Linked DNA regions of Tamandua tetradactyla. The protein of the gene in region 2 purifies or fractionates together with the protein of the main gene of each other region. This does not show direct contact. Links are inferred from orthologs where the notes say so. Each region holds a gene or a part of one and is shown on either strand. Other genes may lie near its edges.

Region 1 (8,053 bases), on a different chromosome or scaffold from region 2:
CCTTTCCAGTTTCACAGAAAAATCTTTGGTTGTGTTTAGAACTTCACTACTCAAAAAGAAGTTAAGCAAGCAACATTAGCATTACCTGCAATACCACTAGGGACCCACCCTAGACCTATCAAATCAGAATCAGCATTTTAACAAGATCCCCCTCCCCCCGAAATGTATATGCACATTCAAGCTTCAGAACTACTGATGTAGAATACTTTAAGGCTGCACTATTCAGCAGTACAGTGACAAAGTCAAATAGGCAAAGAAAGAGACAAAGTACCTCTTCACTTTCTATATACCACATTTTATTAGGTACCGTTCAAACAGTCCTTCAATATTTTTTTTTAACATGGGCCAGTCCTCCAATATTTTTAATGAATTTGTTATTTACTAATAACCACACAATTTAAAAGCGATATCTATTTTACATTCTCCAAATAACACAACTTGGCTCTAGGGCTTTCATACACATAAAATATAAAACAGCTTAGTTGTTCTGAAAATACGATAATGGTTAATTTTATTCAAGTTACAACACTGAGTTCAGAGCACTTCTCCACAAGCCCCTTTAATTCCTATGGGTTCCTGAGAGTATCATTAAATCTCTCAGCATCCCTAAGAGGCAGGTGCTTGACAAACATCGAATCTTCAAATGAGATACAGAAGGACCAGGTCGTGAAAATGCAGTATTTTCCTGCCTTGTCCTGCCGGTGTGGCTTCTCAGACCCAAACTCTCTCCCCCACTGAGGTTTCATACAGCTGCACCCTCAAGCACTTTCCAAAGGGGAAAAAGGTCAGAGGCATCACTATCCACAAGCACTTGAGACTCCAGCTGTGAGAAATTAAAATAGTTGGGGGTTCAGGCTGAGAAGCCCCGAGTAAGAACCGGAAAAGCATAAGGAAATACAGAAGAAAGAACCTACTAAGAAGCACTTAAGAATCAAGGGGCCCCTGATAATTGTAGATTTTAAAGTAGGGGGAGGAGGATTAAGAAGGCTTGACAGATCTAGGAGAGGATGTTTGGGGACAGATACATATTCATCCCCCACCCAGGGACAAGAACAAAGAGTGACCCACCACATGATTTCAAATGTTTTCTTTTCTTAATAAAAGGAAGAAAGCAATGTAGGGAAGAAGTTTATGGGCTACGAGCTGGGCTACAAAAATCTCTTGAGTTTTTTTCCAGTACAGGGAAATAAAGCTAAGGAGAAAATAGTACCTAATCAGAATCCTACAGGAAGCAAACCACCAGGAGGATAAAGAACCTGTGGAAAGCCAAAGAAATGCAGGGGATTCCTTTCCATTTTGAATCTAACATGGAGGGGAGTGGGGAGGAAAAGGGGCAGCAGACAGTCCTGGACTTGAAACCACCTCCAGCAACAAGGAAAGGGAAGGAAGGAAGAGGAAAATCTCTACAGCCACTCGGTAAGCCCAAAAGGAATTAGAAACCAGAAAAACGCCCAGAGAAAGGGAAAGCCAAGAGAGAAGAGTTCCTCTTTGCAGAAAGATAAGGATAAAGTTGACAGACAACAACAAAAAAAACAGTGCTAGCACCCCCACTGGGAAAGAGAGAGGGGAATTCATGAGCTGTGACTATAGGAAATGTGCTCTTTAAAAAAGCCCACAGAAACAGAAAGTGGTAAGATGTTGAACAAAGATTTGCACTCACCACAGAAGAAAGAGAAAATGGGGTACACTGGTTCAGACAGGGAGAGCATCTAAAGAGAAATATGGTTCCACAAAGGGAGAGAATGAAAAAGAAAATGTCTTCCTTGCTTGGCAGAAAAACTAAAAAGGGTAGGGAATTATGGAATGGAAGCATTCTCAAGAACCACAGACCACTGCCCAGGAATGAGAAGACTCAGGAATAAGATGTGTCCTCCAGATTTAAGCATCAGGAAGGTGGCTGCACCTCAAGAACTGAATACCCCAAAGAGAAATGTGAAAATGAGTTTTCCCAATGAAATAAGGCAGTTTGATTTGAAGAACTCATGAGAAGGATGCAACCTGAAGAACAGAGTGACTGGAAAAGCAGTGAATTCCCAGACTTCTGGAACTGGAAATAGATGCTCCTAAGTTCAAGATTTGAACATTTTGGGGAGACTCTGAAAACAGGGTGCACCCCTAAACTTGAAAGGCAAAGATAGGGAAGTGACCTCCAAATTTAAGAAACTTGGGAAAACGTGCCCCCGGATTTTAGGGCCTGGAAAATGGAATTCTGGCTTGCATTTGTTGGACTCTAAAATACCCCAAAACGGTGGATATTGGACCCTCGGTATGACCGACTCGTTAACCCAGCGAATCTCCAAATTTGAAAGAGACAACTATCCAGGCTGAGAGGTTCAAAAAACGGCAGTAAGCTCCCATTTGGGAGGTCTGGGGAAAGAGGGTACACTCTCAACTTGGGGGAGCTTTCAAAGTTGAGATAAAACCCCAGGGCTGGAGCTTAAGAAAGAGGTTGCGCCGCCAATACATGTTATACAAAAAAGGGGGCAGTCCTATATTCGGGGTCTTGAGAAAGGGGTGTGCTCCCCAGAATAAAACAAAACAGTCAATAAAAGAAAACGCGTGTTCCCAAAGCACAAGGCAATTGAAAGAGCCAGTGATGGGGCTCTTAGGGGAGCCCCACACATCCTAGGTTGGGTTCCTAGCTCTTATCCCCCACCCCCAACACGGCCCAGCTCCGCGCCCAGAGCCCGCACCCCGCGGCCCAGCCCCCTCGGGCGGCACTGATTGGCCGCAGCTGCCGTCACTTGCACGGGCAGCACCAAGGATTGGGCGCCGCTTGCACGCCCGCCACGCTCTCAGCAGCGGTCCCCAGGCCTCCCTCCCGGCCGGGCAAGCTGGGGGCCAGACCGGGAGCAGAGCCGGGCAGGGGACCCGAGGAAAGGTGGCGTCCGTCACCGACCCGGCCCCAGTTGGCCTACTGCGGCGCGCCACGCCTCGCCGCGAGCTCACCTCACGGCCCCGGTCTGGCTGCGCCGCTCCAGGACCAACCGACAGAAGGACTCTGCGTGCTGCGCACCACGTGACCCCGGGACGCGCCCAGCGTATCCACCGCCCCCCACATACACGCACTATCGCCACCACCGAGTGACGCAGCGGCCCAGCTGCCCCGCCCTCCGCCCCGCCCAGTCACCGCGGTGACGGCCCGCGCGGACCACGCCCACGGTCCTGACGCGCGGGAACCAGGCCGGCGCCTGGGCCCGGAACACGAAGTCCAGGCTCGGCGGTCACCGCTATCACACGAAACCCGGGACTGAGCACTATCCATCACCTGTCAATTTAACCTCCTATTTAACCTTCTCGAGGCCACCCACTTCTTCCCCGTCCCACTATCACTTCTCTTCTAGATGATGGTGGTCTCCTCCCTGCTGAAAACATCATTCCTTCTATCTGCATCCTTCTTATCCTCTGACCACGCTGACTTCTGTCATTTTCTGTGACCCTTTCCAAGCTTATTTCTGGTCCATTGAATAAGCTGTTGCTTTTTGCAAGGCTTAACTCTTCCTCATGCTGGTTTCAGTTTCATACCTCCTCAGTGAGGAACTCTTTAGTCACATTATGCAGAAGTGTTCCACTCAATCACACGCCTCCCCCATGGCGATTACTCTGCTTTACACAGTTCATTTTCAGTGGAACACTTAACATGGCTTGTAGATATTTCATTTGTTTGTTCTCTTGGTTGTATTTGCCTATTTCCCGTATTATAGTCAGGGACCACATTATTCACTACTGAATTGTCAGAACCTGGTGAATAATAGATGTTTAATGTGTATCTGTGGAAAGAATGAAAGGAAATGGAACAGTATTGGAAAAAAAAATTAGCAGGTTCTTCTTTATAACTTGAGTCTCAGCTGAGGTAGGCAAAGCAGAAGATGAGGTATGGGGGAACCAGGGACAAAAGTTTCACAATTTGAGAACCAAAAACATGTGTATGATCTCAGCCAAGTGCCCAAATGTTGGAAGAAAAGACTTTTCCAGGATCCTCTGGGTTTATGCTTATTAACAGGAAATTGCTGACATGTCAGTGGCTGTTGTAGTGTATCAAGATTTTTGTTCCACAAACAGCGCTAAGAATCCCAGACTCTGTAGCCCCATATATACATAACATCCATTTCTCCACTTGTTTCACCTGCACATGTTGAGATCCAGGTTTGAGCTGGGCACCAAAGACACAGAGTAGAATGAGATTTAAGTCCTGTTTTTCAAGAAGCTCACAGCCTTTTAAGGAAATTGCCACAACTAGTAAGTGATCATTCTTTTTGTCTGTTGCAAATACAAACACTGACACTGACTATCAGAAACAAAAAAGAAATATATTACAAGAGTATTAGGGCCCAGAGCACTAGCCAGAGGGTAGGCTTGGGAAACAAACAACATGAGAACAGTTCAAGAAGCAGCTGCTACTGCCTTTGTCTTTGATTCACTCACTCAAGAGGCAAAGTCCTGGCCTGGAGCTCCTGTTGATTGGCCAATCTCAGGTCACATGGATTAGTCCAGCCTGCCAGGGGAAGAAGAGAGGGATGATCTTCTCCTTAGGGTATCCTCCCCTCAGTGGAAACAGGGGGATTGATATTGGCCAGAAAAAAATAACCTGATGCAGATATAAGTAAAGTACTTTGGGACTTAAGCTCTTTCTGATTAAAAAACCTGACCTTCCACCTTCTTCTGAACTGGACACTCACTGGCTGCTAGCCAAAAAGCTCCAGTTTGCAATGTTCTCATTTAAAATTCAGGTTTTACCACTGCCTCCTTAGCAGCGTCTTTCTACCTGAGGTTTTCTACCTGAAAATTCTCCCCAGCATCTCAAGAACAGTTGCTTTCAATCGCCCAATTATTTACTGGGCAGAACCTTTCTTTGCACATGATAGGCAATCAACTAATACGTGTGAATGAGTGAGGGAATGAGTGAATGAGTCTCAACTCCAGAGGGTAGAATCTCTCGTGCTATTTAACTAACTATTTCAGAAGTGTGGTCCCAGACCATAAGCTTCACAAAAAAATCCTGTATGTATACAAGATAAACAGTAGCACAAGAAGCATTCAATACCAGCATGGAAAAGAACTTACTTTCCCTAGGCATCAGTTTTCAACAGTAAAATGAGATAATATCTACTCTTACAGAATTGTCAGATTAAATGAAATGGATGAGAAACTGTAAACACTTGCTCTATGCAAATGATTTTAGGATCCTTTTCTTACAAGATCCATTGTCTAGAGATGTCAAAATGTGCCTGGCTAAAGAGAAGAACTAAAAACCTAACACCAGATAGGATTTCAATTAGGAAACTGATCTTTCTCTGCCTCCATCCAGTAAACCTTTATACTCTGATCTTATGCAACCCAAGACATTTATAATATGTCTGTCAAGGAGAAATTAAAACAAAAACCAGGCCCCTTAGCTGTGACTCACAGTCCTAGACCTGGTGGACTTAGAGTAAGTTTGTCAGCCCCCAAGCTTGAGCATTTCAGTCCCCAAATCAAGAACTGTGGTATGATCTCTGCAGCACTAGGCTGAGTGTGAGAATTCAGGAAGCAGGAAACCACAGTCACAGCAGCAGCCTAGGTCCAAGCACCTAGACAAGGCATCAGGGGCCTGAGGGAAACAGGCTCAGTCTTGTCCCTGGCCTGAGGTTTCTCCTGTCAGGGCCTGATGGAAAGCTCCTATCTCCCTCAGGCTTTACCTACTCTCCAAACAAGGGGGAGGAGAATTAAGAAGGAATTAAAATTTATTTCCAGCATTTTACAAGATTATAAGGAAGAGAAGTGAGAAGGAAAAGGGAACATTTTTTATTTCTCCCCGTCACTAAGAAGAGTAATAAATTGCACTTGGAACACTTCAAGGACAAGAACAATATTCTGTCTCCTTTGTCCCTTGAGTGCCCTAGTACCTAGGACTGTCCCCATGTAATTTAAGCATACCTAATAAATGTTTCTTGTGGGCTGAAACTCACACCAGCCCAGAGATAAAGGAAAAGGGGGAGGAGTTTAGGCCCAGGGACTGAGGGAATGGAGGTTATAAAGGGGTTTTAGTTTGCTAAGGATACAGGGATACAATACACCAGAGATGGATCAGCTTTAATAAAGAGGATTTATTTAGTTACAAAGTTACATTTCCTCAGAAGAAAGGTAGCTGGGTTCCTCTGAGTTTCTCTGTCACATGGGAAGGCACATGGTGATGTCCCCTGGCCCTCTCTCCTGGCTTCTAGGTTCAAATGGCTTTCCCAGGGGCATTTTTTTTCTTCATCTCCAAACCTCTGGGTCTGTGTCAGCTCTGAGTTCTGAACTGAGCTGAGCTCCTTTTCTCTCTTTTGATCTCTCTCTATTTATTTTTTTGTTATTTTAAATGTTTTTAATTGTGAAATATATATATGAAGTAAAGAAAGAAAAAGCAATAATTTTTCAAAGTACACTTCTACAAATACTTACAGAACAGACTTCAGAGTTTGTTATGGGTTACCATTCCACTATTTCAGATTTTTCCTTCCAGCTGCTCTAAACCACTGGGGCTAGAAAGAATAATAATATAGTGATTCAGTAGTGATATTCATTTGTTAAATCGTATTTTCTCTGTTATACCTCCTCCTTCTCCTCTGATTCTTCTCCCACTCTGTAGGGATCCTTAGGCAATGCCCATTCTGACTCAATTAACTGATAATTTTAGAGAGGCTGGTCCCTTTGGGTTTCAGGATTTATATGGCTTAGGAACCCTCTGGAAATTATAGGTTCCAGGAAAGCAAACTTAGTGCATGAAATTTGTACAGAGTCTCATTTTGAGCCCTAGGTGTTCTTTTTTTTAAAAAAAACTTTTTTTAATAAAGAAGTCATAGGTTTACAGGAAAATCATGCAGAAAATATTGAGTTCCCATATATCTCCCCTATTATTAATACCTTGCATTAGTTAGTTTGGAATATTTGTTACAACTGATAAAAAAGTATTCTTATAATTTTTTTTCAAAACTGAATACTTTTTTTTAAATTTTTCTTAATAACCTAGGTATTCTTAAGAGTTAACAGGAGTGATGTTTATTGGGATTTAGCTAACTGAAGCTTCGTAAGAGTAGCCTCCAGAATACCCTCTTGACACTATTTGATGTCTCTTAGCCACTGATGCCTTATTTTAATACACTTCTTTTCCTCCTTTTGGTCAAGAAGGAATTGTCTCTTCTGAACTCTCCTTTTAAGTCTCCAGCTAATTAGATTAAACATCACTCTTGCAGGTGTAACACCCATAGATGATTTCACATGTTGATGATTTAAGTTCACAGCAACAGAGCAATGGATGCCATCATCTAGCCAAGTTGACAGCTGAACTTAACTACTACAAAAGGCTAAAGAGGTTAATTAAATAAAGACTCTCTGAATCTCCAGGTACCACATTTCACTCCCCAATTTTTTTGTAATTTCACAATTAAATAGTTAATGCTGTCATATGGTTCAAATATCAAAAATTACATAATACGTATATAATACAGAGACTTCCTCAAATTCTTGTCTCTCATCAGCCAAATTACCAGTGGGATAACCCCTACTCTTACTTTCTTAAGTATTCTTCCAGGGTTTCTTTATGCATATATATATATATAGGCAAATTTGAATATAGGTTCTTATTTAGAACCTTTTACACACAAAAAAGCATTTACACATGTTGTCCTCCACTTTTTTCACTAAACACTTTTTTTTGTATACTGTAGAGTGGTTTCTCATTTCATTATTTTTCCATGTGAGTATCCTGTTACTGAAGTACCATTTGTTGAATTTTTATTCATTTGTTTTTTGGGAAAGTGCATGGACTGGGAATCGAACCCGAGTCTCCTGCATGGCAGGTGATCGAAACCGAGTCTCCCACATGGCAGGTGAGAATTCTACCACTGAACTACCCTTGCACCCCCACTAAACATATTTTGAACATTCTACAAAACATTTTATACAAAGGTATAAAAATCACTTCCTAATTTGTTTTTGCTGCATAGTATTCTTTATGTGGAAGTATCATAATTTGTTTAATCAGTCCCCTATTAACGAACATTTTGGTTGCTTCTGGTCTTTTGCAATTTAT
Region 2 (7,087 bases):
CAAGAAATGGAAGGTACTGTCATTTTGGCACTGGTGCTCAAGAGGCCCACAGGAGTTGGTAGAAGTAGCAGGGCCTCCTGGGACCCCAGGGAAAGGGAAGGGGCCCGGACCTTCTGCACATGGTTGATCTCATCATGCTTGCGCTTTTGGTTACGAGTGATCTTGCGCTCAGGCTGCTCAGCCAGCTCACTCAGGTACTTCTCTGAGTTCTTCTGCACAGCTTCCTTCACTGTCTTGGTCAGTGCCAGCCGGTTTTTGTCTACCCATTCGTCCAGTCGTCGGTTAACTGTGGGGATGAACCATGAGGGTGCTGCCCTGCTAGCCCACCCCTTCCCCCCAGGCCCTGGGCACCCCAAACTACTCACAGCCCACGTAGTGTACATAGAATTCCTCTCGGCCCTCCTGGTCATTCACTCGAGACTGGATCACTTCAGCAGAATCTGGGAAGGAAAATGGTTAGTATCATTAGGAAGCAAGGAAGGGATGGGATCCAGCAACTGAAGTGTAGTTTGAAGACTCCAGGGCCACATGTAGCCTCACCCATCCATCCACATTTGTCATTCCATTCACTCTGCTACAACTCTGTGCAATGGCAGGCTATCTTAGATTAAAATGAGAAAACTGAGGCTTACCCAGGGTCACAGGTTTGAAAAGTGAGAAGAGCCAATACTTAGGTGAGCTTAAGTATAACTACAAACTCATGCTTGTTTAACTATTTATACCATCATTCATTTATTTGGAGCATCAAGAGAATTGGCTCTGGGTTCAGACATCTTGAGTTTATATTCCAGCTCCTCCACTTTCTAGCTATATAGAAATACACAGGGTATTTCTGCGTTCTGTGCTTCAGTTTCTTCCTCTGGAAAACAGGCATTATGGTACCCACCTTGGAGGGTGAGTTAATGTCTGTAAAGTTTTTAGTACAGAATTTGACATCTAGCAAACTAGTCAATAAACAAGTAAGGTAACCACTGTGTGACCCCATCCCACGTTGCTGGGTACAGAGGACACAGCAATGAATCACAACAGGTCCTGCCCTTCAGACATTCCCAATTTTGTAGGGGAAGATACAGACGGGCAATTACAACATTACATATACCATAGCTGAGGTATGAGGAATATACTGTAGGTACATATAGAAGGGAACGACTCACTTTGCCTGAAGGGGGTCAGGAATGACATCCCAGAGGATATGATGAGTAGGTTGAGTGGGAGCTAGCCTGGTGAGCAAGGAGTAAGGGAAGAGAGGACATTCCAAGCAGAAGCCACAGGTGGTCCTCAGAAGGCACAGACAGTCTGGTCTGATGAAGCTGTTGTTAGGGATAACTAAAAACCAGAAAGCAGGCCACAGGGATGAATGTCATTCTAAGGAGTCTGCAGTTCATTTTGGAGATGAGTGAAGGCAAGGGAAGGGGAAGCTCGTTTTTCAGCTCCTCTCTGTTGGAGGCCATAGGGAATGGATGGACTGGGAAGACCCAAAGACAAACGACCAGTGAGGAAGCAGAGTTAACAAGAAAAAGAGAGAAGCCTAAGATAGGGCAAGAATGTGGGATAACAACTCTGCATAGAAGAAAAAGAATCTGATGATTGCCTGACAGGTGGGGTTTGTAGGCGACGCCCGGGAAGGAATCCAAAGTAACGCAGAGTACGAGAGCCCCCAACTCCGCGTTCTCATTCCTCAGTCCCGCCCCACCCCCCGCCCCGCCCTCAACAACTTACAGTCCCAGCTCTGGGGTCCTCTGAGCTCGCGTTCCCAGACCCCGCCCCTCGATCTCAAAACCCCGCCCCCGATGCTGGGCCCCGCCCTCACGCCAGGTGCTATCCGGCCGCCGACACAGGTACGTTTCTCCGATCTCGACGGTGACTTCCGGTTCGCCGCGTGCCGGGGTCGGCGGAGAGACGCGGCCCGGGGACGGAGCGGTCCCCTCGACTGCCGCATTCTCCCCAGGCCCGGGTTCGCCCTCCCCCGCGATCCCTGAAGTCGCCGCTGCAACCGCCACCGCCGCTCCCTGTGCCGCCATGGCTGTAGTGGAAGTGACGTCAGAAACCCGCGCCTCGCCGCGTATTTAGCTCCGGGTTAACTCTGCTTGGCGGAGTCAGCCTCAGGGCGGGGTAGGGGGCGGGCTCTGTGACGTAGCAGGACTCCATTGGTTTATATGACCGTCTCCGCGGCGCCGGGACCAGCTGACATCTACTGCGCAGCTTGCCTTTGAGTTCCTTAGGTTCCGTTTAGAAATATGGCCGCACCCTAGAGTCGAAGAGAGGAGAAAGACTTCCCTGATGTGATGACTCAGCTCTGTCTTTTCAAAGGCCCTGGTGCCAAGAGGAAGCTAAGACGTGGGCCAGAGCTTGCGTGGCCTCCACTGTTGTCTGGCTTCGGGGTTGTGGATAATGTCGCAGTGTTTCCCTTTTGGCATCAGGCCTTCTCTGAGCCTGGAATTAACCTCCTTCCCCATGCTACCCAGCTCCCCCAGCTTAACATTAGCGCCCTTTGTTGAAGAGTGTAGAAACTGTCTCCCTTGCTCGAGCTGGGAGTTGAGTTGGGGTGAAGGAAGCAGGATAAATGTGTCCAGGGAGAGTTAACAAACTAGTTTTACAGAATAAAGGCTTTCTAAAGAAAGGTCCAGGCCCCTCCAAACCAGACGTTCCCTGAGCATAAATTAAAAGCAATGGATACAATGGAGAGCGTCTTGTAGGTTCTGACCCTACCCTGCCCCTAAATTCCTGGGTAGGGTATACAAGTAAGTGCCTTTTCTCTCTGAGCCTCGGTAGAGGTTAAACTGGACACGTTAAAGTGTTTTGCATACTCCAGTCAAGACCAGTGCGCAACAAACGTTTTCTTTGACCACTCTCTCAACCTTTGATTTATAATTTGGTTACTGGGCTTAGACAATTATGAGAGGAGTGGGATACTCAGAGGATCAATAAATATCTGAGAGCTGGGTATCGATGAGGAGTAGCGGTGGGAAGTGTTGGTAAATTGGCTTTTTGGGGAAATGGAGGCACGTGGGAGCCAGTGAGGGCCAAACGTCTGACAGCATAAGAAGCAGAAGAAAAAACAACAGGCAAGAAAAAAAAACTCTAATGCCTTCCCCCACCCCCCTTGTATCTTTAAGATTGTTGTCCCACTTATCCAGGGTCCCAGTGCCTCACACTTCACCTGAAAAATTCAGGTACCTATGCTGTCCTTTCTAATTAAGGATTAGCCTAGGGCTTTTTAGGGTCACACTGTCAGCCCCCTCATTGTTCTACCCCAAAACTACAGACCACTAGCCCATGCGCATTTGACTATTCCTCCTAGGACTAGGCAGAAGCTCTGCCAGATTGCGAGACCTCTTTTCATTCTTTCCGTGTGCCCAGTTTCCCTCTGATGTGTTCTCACAGGCCAGCACCTGAGGCTCTTTAGTGACCTGCCCAGGGGCCAAGAGCTGTTTTGCCTAGAAAAGCTCTCCTCCTCTATTTCCCAACACAGCGTTTAGCCATGGATAGGCAAGTAGTTAATGACTCAGTTTAGTTCCCAGGCCTCAATTCTAAGACATAATTTAACTGGCTCTGGACTTTTGCCTCAGATCATAATACTTGCTTGGCTTCTTTTTCTTGCTTCCCTCGATCCCTTCTGGGTCTCTCTTAGGAGCACTTTCTTGGACACCAATGCTCTTCGCAGGATCTATGTCTAGGGAATCCTACCTGAGATATTCCCTTTGTAGTTTAAAACCCGTCCATTGATGCCACTGCCTCCAGGAAAACACCCCAGCTTCTTAGCTACACATTCAAGGCTCTGCCCTCTGACCACCTCACCAGCCTCACCTCCCTGCTCTGCAGCCAGTAGGCTTTTCAGCCCAGCAAATCAATGATTTCCTACCACCTGCCATTTGATCTCCAGATACAATTTCTTGTCCTTCCCCTCAACCCACCCCCACCCCGACGGCCATGCGTCACCATGAAAGGTAGAAGATAGAGTAAGCTGAGGGCTGGCCTCAAGCAGTTAGCCACTAGGCCTCTCAGATGTGAAGGCAGGAGACAGAGGTTTAAGATTTTCTTCCCCAGACCCACCAGACAGGTCCTCAGGCCCTCCTTCTCCTCCTCTGGCAAGATGGGCAAGGGCTCCCACCTAAAACTCCATCTGGAGTTTCCCTTCTCACAAGAAGCTCTACTTCAAGTCTAACCTTGAGCCCACCTGCTATCTGGAGCCCTTTCCTTTTACCCATATCAGGGCCTCCCTTCCTCTAGTGGGGCACCCAGTTCCTGCTAAGGCCCACAAGGACACAACCTTGTGTGTTCCTTTCCTTGGCAGCAGGAGACACAGCTAGCAGGCAGTATTTTTAACCTTACTGAGGCTCAGGAGTCAGGTGGCTCAGGAAGTTGCTCAGTCTGGTGACCTTCAGCTCTAGAAACCGTGACTAGCAGGAAGGGAAGAGTCAGAACTGAGGCCTGGAGCCGGGCCAACACAGACCTTCAATACTTCTCTGGGATCTAGAAACACTTGTTAAATGAGTAATAGGTCTTTTCATAAACTGCCAGTCAACCCCGCTCCCGTCAAACCAATGTGCAAGAAACTTGGTTCAATTTCCATTCCTGGTCTGCTAGGCCATCAGAATAGTTAAAGACTGGGGAAGGACCCAGTTAAACCCAAGGGCCCAGGGAACATCAACAGGGCCAGAAGCAAGAGCTCACTTGCCCTCCCCACACATGGGGCCCAAAAGGGCATTCAAAATGTGAACTTTAATAAACAGCAGGTCAAAGTGAGAGTCCCTCAGGAACGAGAATGATGGAGCTGCTGCTGGAGGCCTCAAGAGTCCCCACTTCCCTGCTCCACAGCCTGGAGGCAGGGAAGTAGTCCCTGTTTAGGTGGGTAGGTAGTGGGGGGTGGTTCCCAGCTCCACTTAAGTCCACCTGTCTGGGGACCTAGGACCCAAGATGCAGCAGCGTGTGGAGCAGGGGGAGACCTGCCTGGCCTGGAAGGTCCTAACAGAGGGTGGCCCAGGCTAGACAGGCATGCAGACCAAGTGCTCCGGGGTCAGATGCGGAAGCTTTCCTCCCGGCCATCGATGTGGCGCAGCCGCAGGTAGACGTCCGTGCCAATGCCCTGCAGGGACTGCAGCTGCAGGGAGCCACCGAGGTACTCCGCGTAGGCCCGTGACGTGGGCAGCCCGAAGCCAAAGCTGAAGGTGGGCATGGGGACAGGACAGGGGGCTTCAGAGACTCAAGTCCCCAGGGACCCCTCCCTCCATCCTGGTCAGGGGGTGCCTCACCCGTGCATAGGTCCTGACTGGCCGCCGCTGTGCATGTCCAGGTGGCCAAAGAGGGGGCTGATCCGGGGGTTCTGGGTGCTGGCCTCGGCCGTTGTGAAGTGGTAGTCCATGACTCGATCCAGGTCTTTGTGAGCAACTCCCCCTCCCCGGTCCGAAATCCTGGCAGAATGCCCATGTCATGGGTCTGGGTCAGCTTTGATGGGGTGCTCACCACCTCTCATCAGATAGTGCTGTCTGCCTTCCTGGCCCTTCCACCAGAGGTGGAATGTGGTTCCCCCAGACCCTTGGGCCTTGTCTGCATTATCTGCCTTTCTCTACCCTTGCGTCCACCCGTACCACCAACTTCCTAGCCCTTCTCACAGGACTGGATGTTTATTCTCAGCCCAGCATCATCAACTGTTACTCCTGACTGTCTCTCAACAATAGACCCCTGAATTGCTGAGAGGAGCAGGGCCCCGGGGTCAGCAGTTAGCTCCAGATTCTTTAATATCAGTTCATAGATAATCTCAGAACTAGGGAGTGTCGTGTTTGACCAGGGACTAGATCCCAGAGTGGGGCAGGTACTGGCTTGTGGTCATCCAACAAGTCAGAAACAGTGCCCAGGAACCCCCTGTCTACCCCAGCCCAACTCCCACTCAGGACAGACCTGATGATGAGATCAATATCATTGTTGGCGATAGTGATGACCACATCAGGGACGTTGTAGGGAGTGTCCAGGTGACTCTCCATTGTAGCTCTATGAAGGGACAGAGCCGGGAGATGGTGGCACCCCAGCTCCACCCCAGTTCACATTCCCTTCCCTACCCCCAGTACATACTCTCCAGCCTACCTCATGGCATTCTTGAGTAGCTCGGGCAGGATGTAGTCCAGTGGCATGGGGATGAAAGGGAAGCGGGCGGCTACATGCCCATTGATGCGGACGCGGGGGGCATTGCCGTACTTGTGCTCACACAGGCGTCTGTGAATAGGAGTATGTGTCCAGACAGGTGTCCCTAAACCAGTGGTCCTCAACTGGGAGCAGTTCTGCTCCCTAAAAGACGTGTGGCAATGTCTGGAGACATTTCTGGTTGTCACAACCAGAGTCAACTGTGTAGAAGCCAGGGGTGGTATGAAACATCCTAGCATTCACATAACACCTCGCCATACCCCCAACAGCAAAGACTTACTGACCCAAAATGTCCGTAGTGCTGGCGTTGAGAAACGCCAGGCAAGGGCTCAGATTCCACTCCTCCCTGTCCCCAAGACATACACCCTCTTGGTTGTTCAGCCTTACCTGGCAAAGTCCACCCACTTTTCAATAATCTTCTTTGGCGAGAGGCGAGTGCAGATGATGCCGACAAAGTCAGGCTGGCAGAAGAAAGCGGGTCAGGACTAGGCAACACCTCCACCCCCCTCCTCAGCCACCAGCTGCCTGCACCGAAGCAGCCCCAAGCCTCTCCCCTAAGCCCTTGACCCAGATCTCTAGCCTTTGGCTCCCCTGACACCCCCAGCCGGATCTCAGGTTCCAGCCCGCCACCTTGTCCTCATGTAGCGCCAGGTGGTGTGTAGCCAACATGCGGATCCCGAGCCGCGACGTCAATGTCTTGTCTAAGAAATAGCGGACGAGCTTTTCATCCTGGTAAAGAGAGGGGCCTCAGAACCCTCATGCGCCCTGTCAGACCCCCACCAGGCCTGAGCCCTCACTGCACTGACCTGTATGTGCTTCCTGCTCTCCCGCAGGCCTTCAGCTAGGAGAGTCACCACATCCTTATGGTCATCCAGCAGCTGTCTCACTAGCTGGCAGTACTGGGCCTCATCTGCCTGGTCCTTGATCTGCAGGTCACAAAGCCATAAGC
Region 3 (7,929 bases), on a different chromosome or scaffold from region 2:
TTGTCTGCTTCCTAATGACCAGAGTGGCCACCAGGTCGTGGCACTAAACACTCCATCCCAAAGAGAAACACTCTGGTTCGAGGTCCTCCAATTCCTATGGGTTCAGGACTTCTGGCTGGAGCTCCAACTCTATGGGAGAATAACTGGAAAAAGTGTGTCACTTTGGCTTCTTTCATACTAATAAAATCACTCATTATCCTAAGTGCAGCTGTTAACATAAATGAAGATAAGAACTCAGTCTACATTGCCTAAAGATTTACCACAAGTCCAAATATTTAGGTTACACAGACTGCATTCTCTGATTTACCCATTGCATACATTTGGAATTCCACACACCAGATTACCAAGGAACGATCTCTATACTAGTATCTAACTCTGAGGAAAGACAAGCTGTGTCACCTGGGGAAGCTTCCGTCACTCATCTCTCTCTCCCTATCCTTCCTCCCATTTTCCTCCCTTCATGTTCTAAGCTTTGCCTTCTCCTTAGTCTTAATGGAAAGTCCTTTGACCATTTATATAGAAGGGATGGGAAGGAGGCAAGAGACTGAAGAACCATCATACCAATGAGAGCTTTTTCATCTAAAGGCCATTCTGCCCATACAGTCCAAATGAGGTTTACCTGTGAGATAAACTAGGCACAAAATGCTACCTGTGAGGAAAACAGCATAAAATCTCACGCACAGGACTAGGGAGCAGAAGCAGGAGTCCCCAACAGAGCTGTCCACATAGACCAGCATGCCTCAGAATGTTCTAATATACTATGAAGTTTCAGAATAAACAAACAGTTAATGACACATCTTTTGTAACACATGAATCAGCTACTGATTTGCAAGAGTGGGCGCACCCTAATACCTATGACTCTCAAGTACCTGTTTGAAAGTGGACCATGATGTCTAAATTGCCAACCCATCCTACTGGGACTGGAATGAAATTTTAGAACTATGTGGTCTGTCATAATTTAAAGTAAAAAGGATGAACACATCATTACAATGGAAGTTAATTTAAGAACTTCATTAATATGTTATTACCAATAATCAAGAGAAGTAGCAAATACAAAATGAGGAATAATCAATCAGTCCTAGCAAGCAAGCACAATATTAATTTTTGACAGGAGAGGAGTACCACATGAGGTGGTTGAAGAATAGCAAATTCAAGAATTAGAAAGTTCTCGATTCTAAATAAAAAATAAACAAAATGAGGCCAATAGTGGAAAAATACTGTCTTACCTTAAGAGGCATCCAAATAGCATTCATAGTGTCAGGAACAGTGCAGGCAATACCCAAAAACGAACAAGAAGGGAGTCTTAGTAATTCCCTTAGATTCACCAAGTATGAGCAGGTAGGAAAAATTTTTATTGTTTCAGGAAGATATCTGAAAGAGAGGACTTTCACTTAGATTAAAAAATGCAGAAGAATAAGCAAACAGTTTAAGCTTCCTGGGCAGAGATTTGAAGTACTATTTGCCTTACTTTTCTAAAAAGATGTACAAAACACACTTGCCTTTTGAAAGAGGGCATCTCTCTCTCTCTCTCTGTATTTATATACATACACACACATACATATACATAGTTCAGATAAAAAGAGAAATTAATATATAAAACACATTTTAGATAAAATGAAATTGCTTCTCACAGAATATAGAAAACCAAAATATAAGTGAAAAGTAATGATTATCCAGGGCATTTCATCAACATAATTAAAAAATTTAATATCCTAAAAATGACTTTTGACACATTTAACTTAGTAAATTAAAATCTCTCTGATCATTCAGATTGTCCTACATTTTATTCAGCTTAAATGTAATTTCAGAGAAGATTCTACCTGAAAAATAAAATGTATTCTTGACTAAAACATTGTCAGCAAATAAAAGACCCTTCTTCACTATAGATCATTAAAAGCAGCCCAAACAATTTAATTTTAAGGATGAGAAGGGAGGCAAGTTTGCCCGGGGTCAGGAGGATGGACTGAATGCCCTCTTGCAGGATCCTAGGCCTGAATGAAATTCCAGCTTAACCAGTTACTGCTTCACTTAAAATGGAGGCTTGCCCGAGTAGGGACAAAAATGACAGCACCCACCTTTGTAAAAATAAATTTCGAAAAATCAAAGGCTAGAGAACTCCCATTTAAAGAAAATTAAAACCTTTGGAGTGGATTTATTCTTAACTATGCGTTTGTCACTTCGGCTTGGAAGACTTGGCATCACTTTCCTTACTGCTCATCGTATTTTTTTTTTTCCTTTGGGGGTGGGAGGGGTGAGGGGAGTTTGACTCTCGACCCAAGTCGCAGTCGGGTTTAATATGCCCTCCCACGATCCCTACCTCAGAAGCATCGGGAGAGAGAGACCGGGAGTCCGAGTTCCCACCCCTCCCCCCACCTTGGACCCTTGTCCCAAACCTAAGCTCCCCCCACCCCAACCTTCTCGCAGTGGGGCGACTCGTCTTGCCTTATTCCCGTGGTTAAGGAAAGGGCGAATGGGGAGGTGGGCTCAACGTGGGGGTCGCTTTCGGCCGTTGCCCCGCTGGCCTCAAGAGGGGCGGCCCGCGGGATGCAGCTTCCCTTCCTCTCCGCGTCGGTCCGTCCCACCTCGGCTCGGCCTGGCGCCCCGGGCTCTGCTCGGTGTCCCCGGCCCCGGCCGGCCCCCGGGCAGCCAGACCCCTTGACCATTCGGCCCGCGGCGCGCCGCCCAGGCCTGCGGGTGGACGCGGGGTGAGGGTCCCTGTGCCCACACACGCGTCCCCGCTCCCCCAGTCCTGCCGCTGCCAGGGCCCTCGGCGGCGACCGTTCCCCGGGCCGCTCGGCCCCCACCTCCAGGCCGGGTCGCCACGTCGGGCTCTCCCCGTCGGGGCCACCTCCCTTTCCCCACCATCACCCCCACCCACTCGTGCCCCTACCCCCCGGGGTACCAGTGCCAACGGCAGCTCCCCCAGCCCGGGACCTACCTGCACGGCTCAACCAAGCCTAGAAGTGGGGGCGGGGAATCTTCCGCCCTCCTCCGTCTCTCATTGGCCCTTCCGGGGCCCATCATGAGCACCATTGGCTGATGGCGGGTGTCCATCAGAGCGGCGGGGCGGGACGGAAGGAGGAGAGGGATGCTGATGCCTCGGCGTCTCTGTCTCTGTGTATCTCGCTGTCTCTGTCTCGGCCTTTGGAAACCAGAGGCGTTTGGACGAGAGGACAGGAAGGGGCCCTGAGATGGAGGGAACAGACGGAGGGAATACTGGCAGCGCTTCACACCAGTCGGCCAGTCGGAACCCCCTACCCAAGTCCCCTTTAGGTCCTCTTCTCCATCACCCCCAGCTCCTGCTCCTCACCCCTGTAGGTTTTTCATCCAGGAAGCTACGTGATGAAAACTCGAGGCCGGAAGGGAGAGATTTAATGTATGGGGGAGATTTAATATATGTATGTAAATATATACACACATATATATATTTATATAGATATCGATATTATGGCTATAAAGATACATGCGTACGTGTGTGTAGTCAACCAGGTATAAGGTCATGATAGCCTGAAGAAGAAAGGGCACACATTTCAGAGACAGAGAAGAACTTGAGCTATAGCCAACATAAAAAGGAATAAAAAAAAATCAATCAAAGAGCTGATAACAGTGGTTCTCTCCTGGGAGGGGAGATGAAGCCTCGGGAGACCAAGTGGGAGAAAGACTTACGTCTCACATATCACCTTAGTTATTCTTTTATATCTTTTGATTTTTGTACCATTCACGAAAATTGCCAATTCAAAGAAAATTAATTGGTTAAAAATTTCAAATAATTCTAAGGTCAAAAAACTAGGGAAATAGACAAGATGGTTGTCCAGGAAATTTAGGAAAATGTGCAGCTTTGGGGAGGAGTCTTAGTTTTTAATACTGCAGTTCAAGATACCAGTGGTAAAACCAAACAGAGGTGACTCAGAGGCAGTTTAGGGTTATGGGATTTATGAGCAGATGAACAGACTGGATTCAAAAAGGTTTAGGATTCTCCACCTAAGTATAGTGGTTGATGATATGCTGAAGGATAAATTCCCCCCAAAAGTGTAAAGACAGCTGCATTTAAAGTTAAGAGTCTGAAAAAGAATCAGAAAGAGGGTCAGTCAAGTAAAAGAAACAATATTGAAAACGAATGAAAGTTAAGGGAGGGAGGGTATCCAGAAAAATAGGCGTGAGGCTTACTTTGGGCACGCTCTTTAGGCAACCATGTGACAGTAAGAATGAAAGCCAAGAAAACATCCATAAAGCAGGGTTTTTAATTTTGTCCATGCATGGCAAAGCATGTGGACCCCTTCTCAGAGTAATGTTTTTAAAGGAATTCGAAGGAAACCAATCATATTGAGATACAATTACTAAAATATTTTAAAAGTGTGATATAATAATGTATGTGCTTTTATTAATGCATTAAATAAGACCTAGCAGAGAGTCTAATGACTGCCATAATTTTGAGCTAGTGAATGAGCATAAATGGTATTTCAAGATATCTGCAACTGTGATATAATATGAAAATATTTGTGCTTTCTCTTGGAGACAAGATCACTGGTCCTGTTAATGCTCCTGTGATATCTTGTCTACATTCATGACTGAAGGAAATGCTAACTTTCTGTTAGACTTTAGTAAATTCGTGGTCTCCCAAATCTGTATACCACAGATTAAAGAACCCTACCCTAAGAAGATCATGTTCCCCAATCTCCACATGTCCACAGCGGCCTGGAACTTGTCTTCGCCCCTCATCCTTGTTCCTCTCTTCCTCTTCCCCACAAGCTCCAAGCACTCTTCACTTCCCAGTCCTGAATGCAGATGCCTGACATCCCTGTGACACAGGGGACAAGGGATCATGTGGAAGGATTGCAAGAAAGATAGAAACACATTGGCTTCCAAAGAAAAAAGAGAAAACTATGAGGTATATTCAGATCAGAGATGATGGGGAAAATGAGCCCAGGATAGGATATCATTCATTCCCAAGAAGGAAAACAAATTGTAAAAAGAAAACATCTTTATCAGTTATGAATTTTTTCTATGAGTTTATTAATTCTGCTTAGAAACACCTTCCATCAATCTCCTTATTTCATATACCTGTAAAATGGGGTGAAAAATAGTACCTACCTCTTAGAGTTGTGCCAATTAAAATGAGTGAATTCATATAATGGATTTAAAACACTGTCTGGCACAAGCTAAACACACAATTTTTAACAATCATTATTATTATATTTGGCATCTTGTATTGTAGAGCATTCATGAAAATGCTGGTATGATTATCCACATTAATGTCACGTACAATAACAGATTAAAAGCGATAAGAGGGTTAGCACAAAACACTGTTTTTCATTTAAATGCTTCAAAATTAGAACACTCCATTTCTTCCGGTGACATTTTCATTCCTCTAGGGAGAATATCCATGCTTCTTTAAAAGGATTGTAAACTCAAAAAGAACTTTTATTATTCATATTACAAAGGGCTAATTTCAATAATGTTGTATATGACTTTCTCCTACAAATAATAAATAAAGACCAGCAAATCCTTTTACACAGGTGGCAGTATTAACTGGTACAGCCATTTTGGTACAATCTAATAAAATTTAAGATATGCATACCCTAGGTCCCAGCAGTCCCACTACTAGATACATATTCTAAGGGAATGCATAGTTTTAAATATCAGGATTACTGTCAAGAATATTCACAGCAATGTTTTTCCTTATTACCTAAAACTGGAACTTTCCCAAATGCCTACCAAACATAAAATGGATCAATTGTGCTATATTTGTACAAAGAAAATTAACAAATTATGGTTATGTTCAACAACATGGATGAATTTTTACAAAGGTAACATTGAACACGCACAAAAGCAAACTATGAAAAATATGTATAGTATGTTTCCACTGATATAAACTTCAAAAGCAAGCAAAACTATATTATTTAGGGATAGGTGGTAAAATTATAAGAAAAAGCAAGGAAGTGAACACCATAAAAGTCAGGAGAACCAGTAGGGGTAGAGGGGTTTGTGTTTGACGGGTCTTGAGGTGGAGGGGGTGAGGGGTAGGGGGCTGTTCTACAGGGCTGGCAATATTCTATTTTTTCACCAGGGTGTTGAATACACAAGTATTTTTTCTATAACTTTTTATGTACAAAAAAAGTTTTATATACTTTTATGTATATATGTTAAATTTCACAATAAAATGCTAAATAATAATTTTTTTAATGTTTAGAAAAATGGACAAAGGATATGATGGAATTTAATTTTTTTTTCATTTAATTTTTTTAACCTGGGTTGGCCATCGCCACAAGTAAAGGACGTGACAGTAGAAAGGAAAGAAAGAAAGAGACGACGAAGAAACAACAGTACAAGCAGCTTAGGAGGAAAAACACGAAAAGAGCTGTAGACATCCCGGTCTGGTAAAGAAAAGAAGCATAGCAGGAGAGCAAGGAAAAAGCAAGTCTGTCAGTTCACACCGCAATTGAGGAGGGGGTGCACCGTTTCTGGAAGTACTGCAATACCAGGTCGATGAGTGGAGTGGACGGAGCAAGCTCCTATTCCATCTCCCAGCTCCAAAAATCCATTTAATATATTGTCCTCGGATAGAGGACGTATCAGACATTAAACTGATAAGAACAGATACTACACTTGATCTTAGCCAAAAGGCCGAGACGCGATATATGATGGAATTTAACAAAAAAAAAATATGAATGACTCAAATAAAAGATGCTCAACTTCGCTAAAAGACATACATGTGAAACTCCACTGAGAAACTTTTTTTTCCATCTAAGGTCACAAAGATAAAGTTTGCCAACACATTATGTTGGCAAGGCAGTTGGGGAAATAGGCATTTTTGTAAATTGCTGGTGAAAATATAAATTGTTACAACATCTCTGGAGGACAATTTGACAGTAGCCATCAAAATTATAAATGCAGATGCCCTTTAATTCAGCAATTCCACCTCTAAGAGTTTATTCATTCCTCAAATATGTATTAAGCACCTACCATGTGATAGGTAACGTTGTTATGCCTTGAAGTTTATCCTACTGACATACTCTCTGAAAAGTCTGGACACACGAGGATGTTTACTTCATTATCATCACAGAGTTGTGCATGGGGAAGAAGGCTTAAATCTCAACGCAGAATATAATTAAGATTATGTCAGAGCGTTTAAATAAAATGAAAAAGTATAATATTTTCCCTGCTGCCAAATGTTTAGATATCCTGTATATACACAGTTAACAGGTTTGGTTTTTAACAAACAATGTAAGCAAAATATGGGGAAAATAATACCTAAATGCCCTTCATTAAAAGACTGGTTAAATAAATTATAGTTTGACCCCCCACTCCATCACCAGGGTGGGCAGCACGGGCTTTGAGACCTGTGCAATTACGCAGGCCCCTGTGCTCAGAAGGGACCCCGGCTTGGTTCAATGTTCAGCTTGAAAATCTTTCCTGAAAATTCTTAACAATGTTATTTTTGAACTTGTCAGATGGGACATTGTGTGTGAGTAGAGGAGATCCAAGCAATTAGAATGTCACCATTCCTTGCCACCCCATTTAACTACAGCGTTTGAGATGCCGGGAAAGCACAGAATATTGGTGGACCCGTGATAGTCTGGAAATTGTGCAAGATTCAAAGTCAGTGCGAGGTAAGCTGGTCCATCAATCACTGAGTAACCCGGATGCTGACTGCTCCCAGAGGCGGTGCTTTCCCCACTTGCTTCCAAAGCTGAAAGACGGTGGCGAGCTAAGATACTTAAAAGGACCAAGGAACCGTGTCATCTCCTTTTTTCACTCATGTTATCTTCCTAACTTAGCCAGCCACTTATGAAATGATGACATAAAGGGAAAAGAAAGGACAACCCACAGTTCTTGCAGTCTTTCTTTACAAATAAGTAAGCTGAAGGTAGGGAGGATTGGCAGAATCTGCACCAGTCAAGAAGCGAAATCAGAACAGTTGGGTTTGTT

What was found.
Region 1: the proteins of KAT8 (region 2) and PHF20 purify together in Homo sapiens (affinity purification with mass spectrometry; 3 studies listed by BioGRID and IntAct, counting the BioPlex papers as one, with this or other methods). This does not show direct contact. The link is inferred for Tamandua tetradactyla from reciprocal best matches to the Homo sapiens genes KAT8 and PHF20.
Region 3: the proteins of KAT8 (region 2) and KANSL1 purify together in Homo sapiens (affinity purification with western blotting; 4 studies listed by BioGRID and IntAct, with this or other methods). This does not show direct contact. The link is inferred for Tamandua tetradactyla from reciprocal best matches to the Homo sapiens genes KAT8 and KANSL1.

Annotation. Positions count from the first base shown.
Region 1 is NC_135327.1:16,733,997-16,742,049, forward strand, and holds the start of PHF20 (PHD finger protein 20), read right to left. Parts: upstream 3,087-8,053; 5' UTR 2,950-3,086; intron 1-2,949. UniProt on the Homo sapiens protein: Methyllysine-binding protein, component of the MOF histone acetyltransferase protein complex.
Region 2 is NC_135349.1:23,434,987-23,442,073, forward strand, and holds the start of KAT8 (histone acetyltransferase KAT8), read right to left. Parts: upstream 3,080-7,087; 5' UTR 2,022-3,079; coding exon 1,811-2,021; intron 1,683-1,810; exon of another isoform or gene 1,183-1,682; coding exon of another isoform or gene 1,155-1,182; intron 441-1,154; coding exon 366-440; intron 287-365; coding exon 111-286; intron 1-110. Other genes in the region: BCKDK (branched-chain alpha-ketoacid dehydrogenase kinase), read right to left, coding at 5,018-5,162, 5,253-5,411, 5,899-5,988, 6,082-6,210, 6,526-6,599, 6,769-6,867, 6,945-7,064.
Region 3 is NC_135332.1:20,449,465-20,457,393, reverse strand, and holds the start of KANSL1 (KAT8 regulatory NSL complex subunit 1), read right to left. Parts: upstream 3,014-7,929; 5' UTR 2,939-3,013; intron 2,582-2,938; exon of another isoform or gene 2,443-2,581; intron 1,372-2,442; 5' UTR 1,227-1,371; intron 1-1,226. UniProt on the Homo sapiens protein: Non-catalytic component of the NSL histone acetyltransferase complex, a multiprotein complex that mediates histone H4 acetylation at 'Lys-5'- and 'Lys-8' (H4K5ac and H4K8ac) at transcription start sites and promotes transcription initiation.